Linked DNA regions of Zea mays. The main gene of each other region encodes a partner of the protein of the gene in region 5 in a complex. Links are inferred from orthologs where the notes say so. Each region holds a gene or a part of one and is shown on either strand. Other genes may lie near its edges.

Region 1 (2,952 bases), on a different chromosome or scaffold from region 5:
AAGTTTAATCTTAAATGGTATCAAGTACTAACTGATGCTTTTGGCAACACAGCCGTGTCTCGGAGGGGACTCGAAGACACTGATGTTTGTGAATCTGTCTCCTGAAGCGTCCTCGACAGGGGAGTCTCTTTGCTCATTGCGGTTTGCTGCAAGGGTGAACTCCTGTGAGATCGGGATCCCCAGGCGCCAAACCCAGATGCGGAGCTCACAATGATGAAATACGGCGGAAGCGAGCTGCCAGTGTAATGCTTGTGTGTGTGTTGATTTGGTGATGCAACCGATCATTTGCATCCCCTTGTCTGGAGGTGGTGTGAGTTGCCAATTTTATTTGGTTTGTGGCCTTGTTGATTGCGCTAACGGCTGGCAGCGGTGGGTGTGCTGGCCTATTATATTAATCTTAGGACCTGATCTGATTTGTATGTTGGGATGTGTTGCCATTTTCAATTTTTTTGCTTTCATTCGTAGTCTTGATTTGTCGTTTGCCCAATGCCCAATGCCTCTGAGCTGAGCTGGGCGTGTATGTAAACAACTGTGTACCCGTTGTCGGACACGCACACAGCCTGACATGATAATTGTATTTCCCTGCTCTGGGAATTCTGCAATACCCCTTGTGAGTTTCAAGTATTCATTTACACATCATGATATATGAATGAAAAATTGTGGTTCTGCTAGGCCATCTTGGCCATGAGCTCCTGGAGGATGAGCTTTGTCTCGGCGTAGCGGTCGCCGATCCTGGCGTCGTCCTTGGCTGTGACGGCCTCCTGGAGCGTCTCGAAGCTGTCGAAGAGGCGGTTGGCGAGGTCGACGAAGGGCGGCTTGTCTTCGGCGGCGGAGATGAGCTTGTCGAAGTCGTAGTACATGAAGGTGGACTTGAGGCGGAGGTACTTGTTGACGTAGTTGGAGGCGTCCTTGCCCAGCAGGTCCTCCAGCGCCAGCAGGTCGAAGGCCGTGCTGCGCAGCCGGTACGCGTGCGCCGCGAAGCTGGGCCCGATGTCCGCCATGTAGATGCCGTTCTTGAGGAAGGAGCGCGTGCCCGTCTCCGCGTTGTTGATCTCCTCTGCCATGCCACTCATCGCCGACACAATTGTCAGTGAACCAAGTAAAGTTAAGTGGTGGATGGAGCAGGACGGACGGGACGGCTTACTGTTGACGATCTTGGGCACGGGCAAGGGGAACTCGGTCAGCCACCAGCCGTTGTTGGCCGGCTCGTCGTCGGTTTCGGCGGCGGAGGCGGCACGTGGGCGGAGCAGGACGGCGCACGCGATGCCGAGGAGGCAGGCTGACCTCCTGGACGGGGACGACGGCTGCTGGGAGGAGGCGGCGGCTTGGCACGTCACGTGCAGCGTCGGTCGGCTCGGCCGGAGTAGACGGAGGCTGCCACCGGAGAAGGCATGGCGGCAGCTTGCAGTCGTCGTGGTGGCTGCCGGCGGTGCGTTGAGATAAGTGGCCATGGGGACGGAGAGACGAGTGGATAGCGCGGGCGGGGCGGCACTCGCTAACGCATGAGATCGTAGCCGATAGAAATATCAGAAAAAAGTAAAAGGAAGAAAGCGGCTGCTGGCCGTTCCGACATCCTTCCGTTCCTGATGAGGTTTGCAGTTGAAGATGAATTTGGCCTGGCCTGTAATTTTTGGTACGATTCAAATCTGGATCACTCCTCCACTACTGAGTACTCACTCACTCCCTCAGCCACCACCGCCCCACCAGCCATCAACCACCACCAAACCAAGGAAGGCCACGAGACACAGGCACACAGGACGAGCAGCCAGAGCCGCCAGCCATGCGGGGCGGCTGCTACGTGGGCAAGGCCACCAAGATCTTCCTCGCCCTCCTGGCCGCCCTCGCCGTCGTCGGCGTCGTCCTCGCCTTCCGCGCCGTCCTCCACCGCGCCGCCAAGTCCAGCCCCGCCTCCGCATCGTCCGCGTGCGCCGCCGCCGACGCGTGCCAGCCCGTCCTGCCCGACACGGACCCCGCATACCGCTCGCCCGCCACGGCCGCCCGCCCGCCGCCCACGCCCACGCCCGCGCAAGATCCCGCCTTTCCCTCCCCGGACGCCGCCGCCTGGCCGCCGCCGCCCTCACGGCCGACGGCTGTGCCCGACACCCCTCTGTCGCCGCCGCCGCCGCCGGTGCCCGTGCTCCAACCTCCCGAGCAGCAGCTGCCCGCGCCGGCATTCCAGTCACCGCCGCCGCCGGTGCCCGTGCTCCCACCTCCCGAGCAGCAGCTGCCCCCGCCGGCATTCCCGTCACCACCGCCGCCGCTGGCGGAGATCGCGTCGCCACCGCCGCCGGACCAGCTGCTGCCGTCACCTCCACCACCTGCGTTGCCGTCGCCTGATGCGCCGCCGCCCGCCCCAGAGGCGCCCAGCCCAACGGCGTCTTGACTCAATCGTAGTCGTAGATGCCGACTGCTTCAGTCTCAGAGCAGGGCAATAGCTGTGGATTTGGTAGAGGAGTTTAGCCGCCGCCGTCTGCTGATGTACTGTTTCTTCAGTTTATCCTATAATTAATCCATCTCTAATTCAGGTGCAATTTTGTTGAATTCTTCAGTGTCGCCGCCGTCAGGATCCCACAGAATCAGCCTGCGCGCGCGCGCGTTTCTCTTGTCAAAAATTAAAAAATAAAACAAAAAAACCTAATCTCTGCTGTTCTCTTTACAGTTTGTTGTACTGTGCAGAATCTGCATTCTTTCCTAAGAATTCTCTAGCGTTTCGCGGCGAAATTCAGTGTGTAGCAGTACTAGGAATCACTGCCCTTTCACCTCTGCATGTCGGCTGGATTAACATGAATTGACCATGGACTTGCTGTTGACCACCTTGGGCCGTTGGAGAGAGATTCCCCAGCTCCTGCAGCGGCTCCACAGATCTACCCTCCACTCTGCATCTATCGAGCCGAGCACAAGACAGCGGTGCTTCTCTCTAAACGTGAATACAATTGCATTAAGGCTATCTAC
Region 2 (3,521 bases), on a different chromosome or scaffold from region 5:
AAAAAACCCATTATTTTTAGGCAAGCCAGAGCTCTATCAAACAGGCCCGAGGAAACAGCTCTCGGCGCTCCCAGGAACCACCAATGACATAGAGCCAAAGAGGTGAGGTCAAATTGCACTGGAACTTTTTTTAGTACCTATAACCCAAGCCCAACCATCCCAGTGATGTGACAGTGATACTCTCTCACAAGCAAAATAGTTTCCCGATCCCGATGTGGCGCTCCAACGGCTAATGCGGCTTGGTCCTATCTTACGCTTTCGCTTCTGCAAATCTACGTCTTCACAACCCATGGAAATGGTGCCAGTGGTTTAGCTTCGCCTTTGTTGCTTCAGCAGCCTCCCCAATTCAGGCAGACAGCAGAGGCGGGCACCGTCTGAACCGGTCGATGAGAATTTTTGCTCCAAGCTACTACGGGCACACATGTGTCAGGCACGAGCGCGAGACCTCTCTGCACATCCGAATCGTGAGTGTTTAGTCGGCATGATTGATCGAATGCTGAAGGGTTTGACGCCATTCGCCAGTCACGCTGACAGTCTGACTGACACAAACAAATTCACGATTCCGTATCGGCTGTGCAAGCAAAGCTGGTGGCGCATGTGACATACACCTCCGATAACTTGCTCGCTTTGGCTGTATCAAACTGCTATATAGTCAACAATATGATTGGTCTTTACAAAGTTCCACAATGGCGTTATTACGTAACAAGGATGGTTTATATATATCATCATTTTATTCAATCCAGGTAGCTCTCTGGAGTACAGAAGCTTCTGCAAGTGGCTCTGCCTCTGCAGGTGCTTTCACCGCCAAGAATTCCTCCTGAAACCCTCCATGTGTGACACACGAAAACGATCGGTTACTCTGGAAAGAAGGACGTGAGTCACAGAAAACCAGGCGAGTTCAGAATAACGCTGTGCACGGCACACATATCAGACAGACCTTGTCTCTGCTCTTAGGTTCTGAACATTCCCTGTCATCGAGGGCTCACTTGTAGATCCCGACGAGGAAAAGGTCATATAGAAGTGTGGAGTTTCCGGGGATGTTGCAGTCTCCTGTCAAAAAAAGAAAAACAAAAGAAAAAACTAGAGAAGCAGTCTCCTTGACAATTCTAGAGCGAGAGCAGTTTGCTTATCTATGGTGTACGAAGTCATTTAGCGCAGTTCTGAAAATCGACCTGAGAAGCAGCCTGCCGGTTCAGGCCCGTACGCCAGTGACGCAGGTATCATCAGCTTGCGCTTTCCACCTGAGGCAGGTTTGCAACGGAGTCATCAGTCATGGAACAGCAAGCCAAATTAGCAAAGCCTCTATATTTAATGCACAGCTAAAAACTGCTCAAGTTCCTGTCCGTACCAACAAGCATGGGCGGCACACCGCCGCCGCCACTGATCCCCTGTTCAAGCCCTCGGAGGATCTGCACGCGGAGAACGCGAAAGAAACAGACCATCATTTTTTACTGGCATGAAAACTGAACGTCGTTTTCAGTGAGCGACAATGGATGCTTATACATGCACACCTTGCCTGCGCCTATGCGCATCGTCAGTGGCCTCCCGCGCTTGTAGCTGCTGTCGAACAGCGTACCGTCGGGAAATCTCGCGGTGTAGTGCACCTGATGACCATCGAGAGGACGAATATAATTAGGATCCGAAGCAAGCAGCACACAGAACGCAGAACAGGATGGCGGCATATGTTGCTGAGTTACTCGTGCAGAAGGGAAATGGACCACTGTACTATTACAGAGTAGGTTAAGTCAGAGGAAGGCGCAAGGCATGCAGGAAAGAAGAGACGGTGGTCTCGGTACTGACATTGATGAGCTCGCCGCGCGGGGGCTGGACGCCGGTGCCGACCTCGACGTCGCAGTACGCGAGGCCGGACTTGACGAGGCTCAGGTCGCACATCTTGTCCCCGACCGTCGCGTAGTACTCGATGCGCGTGGCGCCGGCGTCGCCCGCCGGGGACAGCAGCGCGGCCGAGGCCAGGAACCCGGCGCCCAGCGCCAGCAGCCCCCTCCTGCCCGCCGACGCCGACGCCGCCACCGGATGAGGAGTCGAGGAAGTGGACGGCGACGAGGACGACGCGGAGCCGCAGGGCGCGACGGAGAGCGCTCTGCCGCTGGTCTTCGGGAGCGGCGGCGGCGGCGTCGGGATTGGGCTGGACGCCATCAGAGACGACAGGGACGTGATGGGTGGCGCCATGGCTGCTTGTGGAGTGTGGATTATTATCCCCAGACTGTGGCTGCAAGGCGCGCAGGCTCGGGTCTTTATAATGACGCCCCGAAATTCGTCGCGCGGAGGCAGCATGGGCTCTGGATGTTTCAGCCGGCCACTGCAGCAGCAGGCCCGTGGTTTTACCGGGCCGAGCCGCAAGTTTCGGGACAGTCTACAGCCCACGTAGTTTTCTTATTTTAATCATTTTCTAAATCAATTTCTAAAAATTAACATCAGAGTAATTTTGTTTCTAAAACCAACCCGTATGACCGTGTAAATCTCCCTGCCGCGGACAAATACGCTGATATGCGACCCCGTTTGACGTGGCAGGTCGTGATCGATGACATGGCAAGTGTTGTCTGTTTTGATTGGATACATTTCAATGCACTTCAACCCCCTCTTCCAAGAGTATCTAAACTAGGCCTAAAATGCTTGATGGTCAAAGGTTTTCTCTCAATAAAACGGGATTAGTTTACACCATAAGAATATCGAGGTGACCTTTATAAGTCGCAAAACTACTTTTGTGAAGGATAATGATGGGTTCCGGTCAAAATGCAAGCAAGTTATGTACTAATGCAAGCAAGTTATGTACTTATAGCAGTACTGCAAGAACAAGAATAAAGGTACACCTTCTATTAAATTTGATTCTTATTATTTACTTGCAAAGTATACTATGGTATAAAGACAAAATTTATTAGAATATCTCTAATAGCTTATCCATCTTCATCTCCGTATTCAAATTTCACTCCACAGATAGTGCAATCTACTGTGCATAACAGTGTTTTGGATAACCATGTGAGTAACTGCTAGACACGATCTTAGTGCATCTATTATTGTTCCAAAGAGGAAGATAATATGGATTGCCAAAAGTCTAGTAACTATTTAGAAGAACAAACAAGTTTGGGTATTAAAAAACTTTTTTTAGATAAATTATAAGGCTCAAGAAAGATATTTAGGATTTGACAGTGGATACACACACTCGTCACCATCCTATAATTTACGTCGCTAGCTGCGGCCACCAGCATCTTTTTTTTTTCCTCACGTTTTGATGATATAACGACACAACGCAATACAAAAAGTGAACCACTTTGCCTAATGCCAACCAAAAGTACAATATAGGACCTGGTTAAGATAACAGCTGATGGGAAAAATCTACACCAATTTTTTTGGGGGTGCAGCTTTCAGCTGTCAGGTGCAATCATCTTTTAATCTCGGCACCGTAGAAGTGAAAATTTCGGAGTACCTTCTCTCCCATGTTTTTTTTCAACTGCATGTATAGTAGTCGGCTGCCTAGTCGCCTGTTTGGCCGATTTTTTTTG
Region 3 (3,061 bases), on a different chromosome or scaffold from region 5:
GTCTATGATTCTGCTGAGTTTCATGCTTCCTTAGTTTTCTGGTTGTCGTGAAGCAGGACCAGCAAACTCGAATGTGTAACCATTATTAAACCACTTTCAGGCAAGACAATGTTTCGCAGTGAGAGGCGTGTACCCTTTGATGGGGAGTACTGATGAGGTATGTAAGCAATTGTATTTTTCCCTAACATTAGAGTTACATGTAAAAAAACATATGGCTAACCATGAATGCTTAAAACTCTGTAATAGGCCGAAACTGGTGGGCTAACAAAGGAAGAGTATGGGATAAAACTTGCGATGAGCTATGGTCGGTCGGTTGGCATAGTGAAGCCTTTCGACAGGTTGATAATCTTTGAAAAGATTGGTGATTCTTCTGTTGTCAAGATCATTGAGTGTGAAGGTTAGGCATTAGATGATTGATACCTACAACCCATGCTGTAGTTTCATGTATCGCATGGGAGATTACCTCCAGTTCCATCTCACTTATTTAACCAAGTTCCAAGTAGAGTACAGCAAGAGCACAAGATATCTTGTTAGGGAATTTTGCCCTCTTTTCAGATTGTCTTTTGATTTGACGCAATAAATTATGATGTCACAGATTTATACTGGAATTATGATTTGATTATGCAAATATAGGATTGTTGGCAACAAACCATGAATAATCGTCGTTCCTACCTTATTCTATTGGACATTACATGATGCAGTGCATGATAACATCCCAAAAGACAATCTTAGGGCATTATCAGTTAATTTACCTATAATGTTCTGTCTATGGTACACTCCTGCAACCTTGCTGCTGTTGCTGGTATGCTGCTGTCAGTACTGCTCCTTGAAGAAAACAGCATAGATGATGCAGCAGATGGAGATGATGATGATAACGATATCGATGGTGAGCGCAGTCATGGCCTGATCGCTAAGCTTCATGTTCTTGCCGCCGAGGCGGTCAACCATGTCTGGCACGGGTTTGTAGTTGATGATGTCCTGCTCGTATGGGTCCTCGAGCCTGGACCTGAGCTGCTGCAGGCGGCGGCTCTCGGCCTCCTGCGCCAGTGTCCAGTCGTAGAACCGCCGTGTCTCCTCCTTGCTCAGCACGTTGTACACCTCTCGCAGGCGGATGAACTTCTGCGACGCCACCTTGAGCGGCAGCGTCGTCGTGTCCGGGTGGTACTCCTTGGACAGCCGCCGGTACGCCGTCTTGATCTCCTCGATGTCCGCCTCTGGCGCTATGCCAAGGAACCTGGGTGATAGATTTTGCAGTTCAGTCATGTGTCGCCGTTAGTAACAAAGTATTGACATGATGATGACAGTGTCTCGAACAGAGCTCTACAAATTTATGTACAGCTGGACGGCAATCCAAAAGGACATATGAGCATGGATTGGAGATGAACTCAACTGGTAGTGAGACTCGGCCGCGTTGTTGATGAGGTCCGCGAACCTCCCTCCCAACGGCTCGTTCTTGCTGCTGCCGCGGCCGTCGCCTTCCTTCTTGGCCTTGCCTCCTACCCACCCTTCGTCGGGGTTGGACCAGTGTATCCTGGTGTCCACCGTCTTCTTCTTCCCCGGCCCTGCACCGTCCGCCGTCGCAGGAGTCGGTTCGGCGTCGGGCGGGCTCGCGGCTGCGACCACGACTGCCTTCGTGCGCCGCTGGTGCCGGTGGAGGAAGGGCGTGAAGATGCGCGAGGCCGTGGACGCTGCCATGGGAAACGTGTGTGTTAGCGTCTGCGCAGGCAGCATTCCAAGGCGTGGAGGGGAGTCGGGAGGTGATGAGGCTCGCACGTTCCAGTTGTCGTGGTAGGAGGGCGAGGCGATGAGGTGTCGCTGTTCACTTAGCCAATGGCCACATGTACAAAAAGAAAAAGGAACGGTAACCATATTCCGAACGAGAAATGAAACTGCAGAAATTTTCCCGCCGCACGAACACTTGCGCTGTCAGTTTAGACGGTACGCAATCGAATTCGTCCGCACAGTTATCCTGAGTAGTACTGAGTACTGACCAAGTGACAATGAGGGAGAAGAGGTAAAAAAAATAAAACAAGGGGGGTAAAAAACAGTTTGGAGATGCGGGGGATCGAACCCCGTACCTCTCGCATGCAAAGCGAGCGCTCTACCATTTGAGCTACATCCCCTTGTTGTAATTTTTAACTGTGATTAAATTAATAATGTTTTTGTAATTCAGGATTTTGGGTGTCGCCTCCCATGATAACGCGCATCAGGTTTGCGTTCCACGGTATCATCAGGGAGAGGTCTTCTTGAAACGGCAACAATGCTTGGATCTTCGTTACTGCCGTCTCCAGTCTCTCAGCTTTGGCCTCAGCACTCTTGTGACTAGCGGTTTTGTCGCCCGATACAAGACATGATTTGTGCCATTGGTAGCCACTGCAGATGCTACGAGATTTGTGCCATTGGTAACTAGTGTAGTTGAAAGGGAGGGAGAGGGGTCTTCCCTTCTATGCCAATCCATATAAATTGAAGGTGATTAAAGGGTTTCAATCCTTAGTAAGTCAAAATCTCTCTCAATACGTATCAATCTCTTCCAATCTATAGATTGAAAATAACCGAACAAATTGTGATATCCTGGCCCCTGGGATGGGATGTCCTGGCCCAAGGCTTAATAGAATTAATAGTGTAATCATACCAACAAGGTGCATATTCTTTTTCGGAAGCATATCTTGAAAGAACCTCCAAGTTAAGCGTGCTTGGCTTGGAGCAATTTGGGATGGGTGACCGACCGGGAAGTTTTCTCGGGTGCGCATGAGTGAGGACAAAGTGCGCACAAAAGACTTGTGTTGGTATGTGGGGACAATATATGATCCTAGAGAGCTGCCAGGAGTAAGTACCGCCGGTCCAGGGATTGGACGGGGTGTTACAAGTGGTATCAGAGCCGACCCTCGCGGTTTCACGGGCGTGTGTGGGCTAGGGGGTTCGGGTATATGGCGCATGGCGCATCTGGGCCCGGAGTGGTCACATGGCATGGCATATGACGACACTAGACATACAGACGTGGCCAAGAGGGGAGGTTCCTGGATTGGGGTTGACCGACGAGGACGTCGGTCTTCTAAGGGGG
Region 4 (3,665 bases), on a different chromosome or scaffold from region 5:
CGCCCGTCGATGAGCTCGGTGGAGGCTGAGATACAACGGATCCGCGAGCAGGAGATCAGCCTCACAGCAGTCATGGCGGAAGGTACCCCAACCGTGACTCTAGGCAGTCAGCTCTTCAGAACATCCAGGTGAAACAAACATCAGTGGGATGTGTAGTCTAGAAGAAAAGCTAGTTCTCTCCTCCTCAGGGCAGTAGACCAGCCTTGTTCTCTTTCGGAATTCGGGAAAAAAAAGAAGAGCCCGTCTTCATAGCGAGCCAGCTGCATCCCAAGTGTAAAAAAAAAAGAGAGGAAACAGCTGCGAGGCTTACCCTTTTTTTCTCCCCAGTTTTGTTACCCTGATGGTTCCTTCCTAATTCTCCCTTTTCTGCACATGTTTTTAGGGGAATTAATGACATTTTCCTTTTGTTGAATAATAATAAGAATGGGTGGGTGGTGGCAAACCAGCGGCTCTTGATTGTTCAGCGCATCAGTCTTGCATGTGTTTTTTTTTCTCTTCCCTTCAAAGTATTGGAGAAAACATGAAAACAAAGGCAATTCATGCAGAAAGTTGAAGCAACAGTCTGCAGAACATGTCGTGTATTATATGGCACGAGGATAGAACAGATTTTCAGGCTCTCCAGTCTTACAGGAAGGATGGCTTTCCTTTTTATTCAAGAGATTTTCCTAGCAGCTACAGCTTCCTTTCACAGGGTTTTTTTTGCTGTGAGGCAACAATCTGAAGGGCAGCGAGCGGTGTACGCAATGCATCTAGGTCGACTTGACGATGTCGTCCCTGGTGTTGACGGTGAAGTCCCAGAGCTCGCCGTACTTCTCGTTGAAGTCCCAGATGTCCATGGAGTTGTAGTCGGCGATGAGCTTGTCGCGGGCCGACCTCTCCATCATGTAGATCTCCGGCTCGAAGTTGTGCGGCTTGTCGGGCTTGCCCATCTCGATGACGCAGAACACCACGATGAAGACGGCCGCCCCGATGTACAGGTACTCCCCCTGGCGACACAAGCAGACGCGTCTCCGATCCGATCAGTAGATGCAGGTGACGAGTTTTTTTTTTTTTTTTTTTTGGGGCACAAATGCTTGGAGCGCAGGAATTTCACAGGAAACAATTCACTTTCCCGACAGAAAGCACAATTCACTTCCGACCAGGAAACTTCGTGTTCCAAACAGGGGACTAGGTACTGGGAGGAGGAAGTGCTGGATCCTTACCGGCACATTGAAAGCCATGCCGAGGATGATCGCAGGAGGAAATGCCCAGGAGATGAGTGCTGCAAGAGATCGCCGCCATTGATGCAGTGCAACAAATGAGCAAGGCAGAAGCATAAAGATCTGAAAGAGCTACACAGTAGTGGTAGTACCTTGAAAGCCCTGAGGAGGCTCAGCTTCTTGGTACCACTCGGAGACATCCTCCCAGAAGCCCTTCTTGTCTTGGGAAGAAAAGCGGGGGGTGTTGCGGTTGTTTGCAGGTTTTTGTTTCACCACAGCACAAAACAATCAGTGGACTATTATTTCTTTTTCTTTTTGCAATGAAGGATATCATATCATGAACAATGGAGTTCTTATTTTTTTCTGGGAGGATAGTAATACCTTGGCCTTCGAAATAGGTGTGGTGTCCGTCATACTTCCCGTACTCGAAGTCCTCCTGCAAGACAAGACAAGACAAGACAGATCCTCTCCAGTGTCATCCACGAACGAACGAACGAAACGTACTCCGTTCTTCAGAGCTCTCGTTCATAGCACAACCTACGTCAAGGTTCACTGCTTTCCTGCGTGTTCCTAGTCTAACTAACTAAGCGCGGAACGACAACCGAGAAGAGAAGAGAAGAAAAGGAAGGAAACGAGGGACGACGACGACGGACCGGGCTGATGCCGTTGGTGCGGTACACGTCGATGGCGTCCTCCTCCAGGTCCGGCTCGATCTCCGACAGCGGCCCAGGCCCGGCCCTCACCACCACCGCGCCGCCGCCCGGCCTCCTCCCGACACTCGAACGCCGGCGGCCGGCGTGCAGCAGCTGTGGCCGCGCCGCCGCCTTCACCCTCAGCTGCTGCGGCGCTGCGTCATGGCGGCGCCGAGCGGTGCTGGGCGCTGCAGATGGCGAGGCAGAGATGCCGGAGGACAGGCTGCTCATTATCTCGCCGCGGTGCTGCGATCGCTGCTGAGTGGTGACTGGTGAGTGCTCCAGCCCCCGCTGCTGGCTGCTGCTGCACTTCACGTTGCGGCCAAGAGACAAAAAAGCAAGCGGATAATGGTGCGCTGGAGTTGGACACCTACCGTCCAGGATTTTTCCGCTGTCTTTTCCTGTCCCTTTTTTCGTTTCTGGAAATAATCAGCTCATAAAAACTCGGTACGATTCTGTGGAACTGAACACCTACGGACGTCCCACAGTAACCCCTCCCCCCGCCAAAAAAAATCGTGATTCTGTGCGCTATATTTGTAAGAAACTGTCGCATGTGCTTTGGTCAACGGACACCAACAAAACAAGTGAGAACTCACTCTTTGTAGGATTATCTGTAACCCTGTCCTTTAAATTTTTCCATGTATATGGAGTGGTTCTTTCTAAATTCTCTCATACACTACACAACGATTTTTTTATAGCGACCTATGGTTGGTTGCTAGAACGTCTTCATCAACCTAGGGTTTAGGGTTTAGATATACACAGTTAATTAGTAGTACAATGGTGCTATGTTTACAAATAAATATACAGTACTAATTTGCATGTAAAGCTCTAACTGAATTCTTACCAAGCATCAATGGACACTAGAACATTTGGCGGCCTTGGGGTGCCCTCGAGATTGCGATGTCACAAGAAGACCCGCACATGACATTGTTACAGATCAGATCCTTAAGCCTAGTAATCAACAAACCAGTTTCTTAAATTAGTATTATACAAAAAAAATGCAATTGCTCCCAGTTCTTTTGGTATCAAGACAACATAGTCCCCCATCTTCATAGTAAGAGAAAAAAAGGCTAGCATCACTGCATCAATAAACTGCCCATGCATTTTTTTTTACTGTAATCGAACGATGAGTAAAGCTCTGACATCACCAGTACTCTACTCGTGAACGCCTCGAAGCCCTGCCTCTGTCCTTACCAGTTGGCGGAGAGTCAATGTGACTCAACTTCAGTCTGGAAGGTGAAAATAAAGCAACAAGACACAAATAAAATGAAATCACGTTGCTGCACTGAAAATACAGAGATGATTTCGTGCATAATCTCTCATACCGAACGTAGCAGAGCTGTCGTGGTACTCAACGGGTGGAGTAGCAGAGCTGTCGTGCTGTGGCATGCTGTTGGCGAAGACGAGAAGAACCAGACAACAACTCTGTGCGGATGGATAGCGGATGAACAACAACACTCCACATTTACCGGTCGTCGAGCTGCCGCTATATTTTAGCGGACCATTTGCCGGTTCTTGCTGGAGCGATAGCGGACACCGAGAAACGCTAAATATAGCATACCGAACGCTTTAGCGCCCCTTGTTGGAGACAGCCTAACACTACCAAGCCTCTCGATTAGAAATGGTAACAGATAAAGACCTGCCGGGTTTTGCTACCCCAGACTCGGTTCCGTCAAACTAAAAACTCGCCACTCTAATACCCCTACTTGTGCACGGATACAATTTCACACTCATACACGTACTCGTGTGGGTATTTTTTATCCGATGAGTACCC
Region 5 (3,841 bases):
AGAGGGGTTGATCTGACACCTGGACAGAAGCAACGGATTGCCATCGCTAGGGTGGTTTTGAAGAACGCACCTATATTGCTGTTGGACGAGGCCAGCTCTGCGATCGAGTCTGAATCGAGTAGAGTGGTGCAAGAAGCTCTAGACACTCTGGTCATGGGTAACAAGACAACGATTCTCATTGCGCACAGGGCGGCAATGATGAAGCATGTTGATAACATCGTCGTCTTGAATGGCGGTAGGATAGTTGAGCAGGGCACACATGACTCTCTGATGGACCAGAACGGTCTATATGTTAGATTGATGCAACCCCATTTTGGCAAGGGCCTTCGCCAGCATCGGCTAATGTAATTATTCTTTTGAGTTTGTTTAGGTGTAAATTATCCTAGGGGATGATCAGGTTTCCTTGTGCGGCCACTCAGTCAGGGGCCCTTTTCGGCACATGAAAAATGCTGGGAGTTGCCGCCCTGTTGCTGTTCCGAGTAAGCCGACCTGGTCTTCTTGACAAAAAAATAAAAAAAATAGCTTGCAGATCCAAGTAATTCTGGAAATAGTTAGCAAGTTTGGAGGGCATTGTAATTGTTGTAATATATGAGCTGAAACATTCTTTCAGAGGCTCGTGCTTGTGGTGTCTCTCGCCTCTGTAATATTAGTGTTGCACCGACATGTTCACGGAGCGTGTAATTTTGGGAGCCACGAACCGACAGCAATGCAACCACATTCCCCCCCCCCCCCCCCCCCCCCCCCCCCCCATCTTTCGCTAAACAAGTTGCCGCACCATGCTCATGAGGCCGTCACAGAAGCAAGCGATCACGCCGTCAGGTCCGAGATCTTGAAGGAGTCCGCGACGACTTTGAGCCTGTTCCGCAGCCTGCTCCACCGGCGCTCGTTCGCGGTCACGATCAGCGTGTAGTACCGACCTAGTTAGAGCAAAAAACAAACAAACAAACAGAGTTTCATCTCTCTCTATTTCAACGCGAAGCGAAACACATGAACGTTTCCCGTTCATAGGTATCATACCGTTTCCAATGGCGACCGTCGCAAACGCAGAAACGCCGTAGCCCGGAGCCTCCAGATCGTACTCAAACGTCCAGTAGTTCTTGCCGTCCACGGTGCGCTGCAAAAATAGTAGGATAGGCCGCTTATTTCACTAGCACCATTTTTTTTATTTTTTTGCTCAGAGTTATCCAACTAGATTTGGCAACTCCAAACAAATGATAATTGCATGCATAAAGCGATGAACAGATGACAGACCTCTTGCATGTCGTAGATCGACGGTATTTGGTTCGGGGCAGCGTAGACGTTGTTTACCAGGTTGAAGATGGCCTGGTGTAATGTGGAAAAAAAAACATATTCATCACATCAGCAAAAGTGATTATCAGAGCTAAAACGTATATAATTTAAACGGAGGAGAGAGTATGTGTTTTATCTTTTGTGCCTAATCAAAGTGAAGAACACATAGTTTTTCCATAAAAAAGAAGAAGAATACATAGTCGAAAGAAGGAAACAAAACCCCCACCTCATCCATCGGTCCTAGGTCGCGGATGTCTGTTTTCTCGGTAGGAATGAACCCCACACGAACACACTGAAGGGCCAGGTTGCGGTCTTTGAACGCAGAATCATGACCCAAGAAGTCGAAATCCTATCCAGGGACAAGGGAACGAAGGCACCATGAAAATCACCCTACAGTTCTTAACTGTTCAAGAATCGATCGCATGGCGCCAACCTACCCTCCATTCAGCTGGATAAAGGTACGAGTACCCGTCTTTCGCGTCCACGTACGACTTGTAATTCTTCGGCACCTCTGAACAGCTCCGATCAGTGTCAAACAGGTAAGAAACGCAAAAAAAACGCTGCTCGAGGACACCGTCCTAGTCCGATCCTGATAGATACAATGCCAGGCCATCTATATAGGGATGATCGTTACCTTCAGCGAACGCAGCAGAGCTTGTCCTCAGTAGGCCAGTGGCTAACGCTCCAGCACCAAGCAAAGCTAGCCGTCTCTTCGTGACCTCTATACAAGCGGAGAGATGTTATGAACCAGGATTCTGTCGACCACTAGATGCATGAACGGAAAAAAAACAACAACAACAACAAAAGGGGGGGTTACTGGTGTCGTCCAAAGATCCTTGGATCGAGCTCGCCGCCACAGCTGAGGGAGGAGCCCTGTTCAGTTTGGTAGTCGCCGCGCAATTTGGCACAGCCAGCTGGAAACAAGCAACGGGTTCAAGCTGTTATTACTCCTCAGAACTGCAGGGAAAGTAAATGAATTCCAGAAAAAAACAGTGAGGAAGGGGCTTGAGCACGTACTTGTTTGGATACGGAGCAGACCAGGTTCTGCAGGCTCGCCATTTCGGCTTCAGTTGTTCAGGGTAGCGCTGAGCTCGAGGGAGAGTTCTGTGAAGCTTGTTACCCCCATCGTCAGTTATCCATAGCTGCTGGACACGCTCGAGCTCACTTTTCCACTATCGAGTGGGTGGTGGAACCGTGGAAGGGCTCGCTTTTCCCCTATCGAGTGTGTGGGTGGAAGCCAAGGCAGCCAAGTCAGCATGCTCATTATCCTCTCATTTCAGCACTCTTGCTTCTTTGTCTTGGACAGAGCACTGGCTGACAAAAATGGGCGTCCCTCTCAACAGGCAAACAGCCCTTCTGGTGGGTAGGTCGTTGATGACCCAAGACGAACTGTTCTGAATACAGTGATTTTTATGCCAAAAAAACAAAATTTCCAGGTTACATAATTTCATGACACCATGATAAGCGATATACAACAACGGCCACAATTATTCAATGCTAGTAAGCCTGTTGCATAATGCAGCTAGGTTTATTTGTTTTTTTCCTTAGTTGATTTATTAGTTTTTTCTTAGCTAATTGATAGTTGATCAATTAGTTCCCTTTTTTAACTAATTGATAGTTGTTTGTTAGTTTCCTTTCTTAACTAATTGGTTGATTTTTCCTTAGTTAATTGATAGTTAATTAAATAGTTTCAATAGTGTTTGAATGAGAGTCACGTACGAACGAGGTAAACACCAGAGTAGTTTTTGGTGGCGGCGTGATGCTAAAAAATCGAGGGGCGCCTCATCCCATGTTGACCTTAAACCAAACACAGTAAAAGACACTAGGCGCCATTCAAATCCACAACACATCAATAATCTTATAAGTTTTACCGAGCAAGCACTAACATGGCACCGGCCTAGGATTTAGGCAGCATGGCCATGGCCCGTGGCAGGACGTGCTGCAGCTTGAGCTGATGATTTATTACTTCCTTTCACTGCAAGGCCTTTTGCTCGCCAAACTATGACCATAAGTGCCGGAGCCGGAGCCGGAGCTTCTCCCCTGGCTTGAGTCTGCGGTGGCCGGAACCGGAACGACATCCTGCGGCGATTCTGCGACGTCCACCAAGAACATGTCAGGGTCGAAATGCTCCTGGCTCGAGCTCGAGGAAGCGAAGCCAAGCAGCGACGGCTGAACGGCGCAGGTGTCCAGAGACGAGTCGATGCTCCTGTGGCCGAAGCCGCTGGACGACGCAACGCAGTAGTAGCCAGTTCCCGCACGGGCACGCTGCCCCCGCGGCCCGAACGCGGCAGGAGCGAGTGCCTGGGCCTGGGCCTGGGCCTGGGCCTGGATGTGCTCGTAGCCGGTGGCGGCGAACGCGTCAGGCCGCGCGACTCTGGAGCACGATGCTCCGGGAACCGCCGCCTTCATCCGGGCGTTCCTTGCCTGGAGGTCCGCGAGCAGCATCCTCGCCTGGTTCCTGGCCTCGTCCCTTTCTTGCATCCTCCTCCGTGCGAGCGTGGCCAGATGCCAGATTGCATCGTCAGCCTCCGCAGACAAAGCGAGGATCTTT

Evidence for each region.
Region 1: photosynthetic NDH subunit of lumenal location 1, chloroplastic (region 5) and oxygen evolving enhancer protein 3 containing protein share a complex: the UniProt entries of both Arabidopsis thaliana proteins name them as parts of the chloroplast NDH complex. The link is inferred for Zea mays from reciprocal best matches to the Arabidopsis thaliana genes PnsL1 and PnsL3.
Region 2: photosynthetic NDH subunit of lumenal location 1, chloroplastic (region 5) and Photosynthetic NDH subunit of lumenal location 4, chloroplastic share a complex: the UniProt entries of both Arabidopsis thaliana proteins name them as parts of the chloroplast NDH complex. The link is inferred for Zea mays from reciprocal best matches to the Arabidopsis thaliana genes PnsL1 and PnsL4.
Region 3: photosynthetic NDH subunit of lumenal location 1, chloroplastic (region 5) and NAD(P)H-quinone oxidoreductase subunit T, chloroplastic share a complex: the UniProt entries of both Arabidopsis thaliana proteins name them as parts of the chloroplast NDH complex. The link is inferred for Zea mays from reciprocal best matches to the Arabidopsis thaliana genes PnsL1 and NdhT.
Region 4: photosynthetic NDH subunit of lumenal location 1, chloroplastic (region 5) and Photosynthetic NDH subunit of subcomplex B 5, chloroplastic-like share a complex: the UniProt entries of both Arabidopsis thaliana proteins name them as parts of the chloroplast NDH complex. The link is inferred for Zea mays from reciprocal best matches to the Arabidopsis thaliana genes PnsL1 and PnsB5.

What each region holds. Positions count from the first base shown.
Region 1 is NC_050102.1:1,245,630-1,248,581, reverse strand, and holds oxygen evolving enhancer protein 3 containing protein, read right to left. Parts: upstream 1,549-2,952; 5' UTR 1,452-1,548; coding exon 1,145-1,451; intron 1,058-1,144; coding exon 669-1,057; 3' UTR 561-668; downstream 1-560. Other genes in the region: kinesin-related protein11, read left to right, coding at 53-214; vegetative cell wall protein gp1, read left to right, coding at 1,781-2,383. UniProt on the Arabidopsis thaliana protein: NDH shuttles electrons from NAD(P)H:plastoquinone, via FMN and iron-sulfur (Fe-S) centers, to quinones in the photosynthetic chain and possibly in a chloroplast respiratory chain.
Region 2 is NC_050100.1:216,381,249-216,384,769, reverse strand, and holds Photosynthetic NDH subunit of lumenal location 4, chloroplastic, read right to left. Parts: upstream 2,210-3,521; 5' UTR 2,191-2,209; coding exon 1,801-2,190; intron 1,605-1,800; coding exon 1,512-1,604; intron 1,410-1,511; coding exon 1,349-1,409; intron 1,242-1,348; coding exon 1,173-1,241; intron 1,051-1,172; coding exon 983-1,050; 3' UTR 938-982; intron 860-937; exon of another isoform or gene 818-859; 3' UTR 543-817; downstream 1-542. UniProt on the Arabidopsis thaliana protein: NDH shuttles electrons from NAD(P)H:plastoquinone, via FMN and iron-sulfur (Fe-S) centers, to quinones in the photosynthetic chain and possibly in a chloroplast respiratory chain.
Region 3 is NC_050099.1:14,035,964-14,039,024, reverse strand, and holds NAD(P)H-quinone oxidoreductase subunit T, chloroplastic, read right to left. Parts: upstream 1,843-3,061; 5' UTR 1,732-1,842; coding exon 1,391-1,731; intron 1,235-1,390; coding exon 814-1,234; 3' UTR 584-813; downstream 1-583. Other genes in the region: Pyruvate kinase 1, cytosolic, read left to right, coding at 101-157, 247-402. UniProt on the Arabidopsis thaliana protein: NDH shuttles electrons from NAD(P)H:plastoquinone, via FMN and iron-sulfur (Fe-S) centers, to quinones in the photosynthetic chain and possibly in a chloroplast respiratory chain.
Region 4 is NC_050098.1:158,249,924-158,253,588, forward strand, and holds Photosynthetic NDH subunit of subcomplex B 5, chloroplastic-like, read right to left. Parts: upstream 2,166-3,665; 5' UTR 2,123-2,165; coding exon 1,853-2,122; intron 1,636-1,852; coding exon 1,581-1,635; intron 1,421-1,580; coding exon 1,352-1,420; intron 1,262-1,351; coding exon 1,203-1,261; intron 987-1,202; coding exon 750-986; 3' UTR 596-749; downstream 1-595. Other genes in the region: putative transmembrane protein kinase family protein, read left to right, coding at 1-132. UniProt on the Arabidopsis thaliana protein: NDH shuttles electrons from NAD(P)H:plastoquinone, via FMN and iron-sulfur (Fe-S) centers, to quinones in the photosynthetic chain and possibly in a chloroplast respiratory chain.
Region 5 is NC_050096.1:42,029,587-42,033,427, reverse strand, and holds photosynthetic NDH subunit of lumenal location 1, chloroplastic, read right to left. Parts: upstream 2,534-3,841; 5' UTR 2,350-2,533; coding exon 2,308-2,349; intron 2,229-2,307; coding exon 2,108-2,228; intron 2,012-2,107; coding exon 1,925-2,011; intron 1,802-1,924; coding exon 1,728-1,801; intron 1,640-1,727; coding exon 1,517-1,639; intron 1,324-1,516; coding exon 1,252-1,323; intron 1,115-1,251; coding exon 1,018-1,114; intron 918-1,017; coding exon 808-917; 3' UTR 511-807; downstream 1-510. Other genes in the region: ABC transporter B family member 20, read left to right, coding at 1-348. UniProt on the Arabidopsis thaliana protein: NDH shuttles electrons from NAD(P)H:plastoquinone, via FMN and iron-sulfur (Fe-S) centers, to quinones in the photosynthetic chain and possibly in a chloroplast respiratory chain.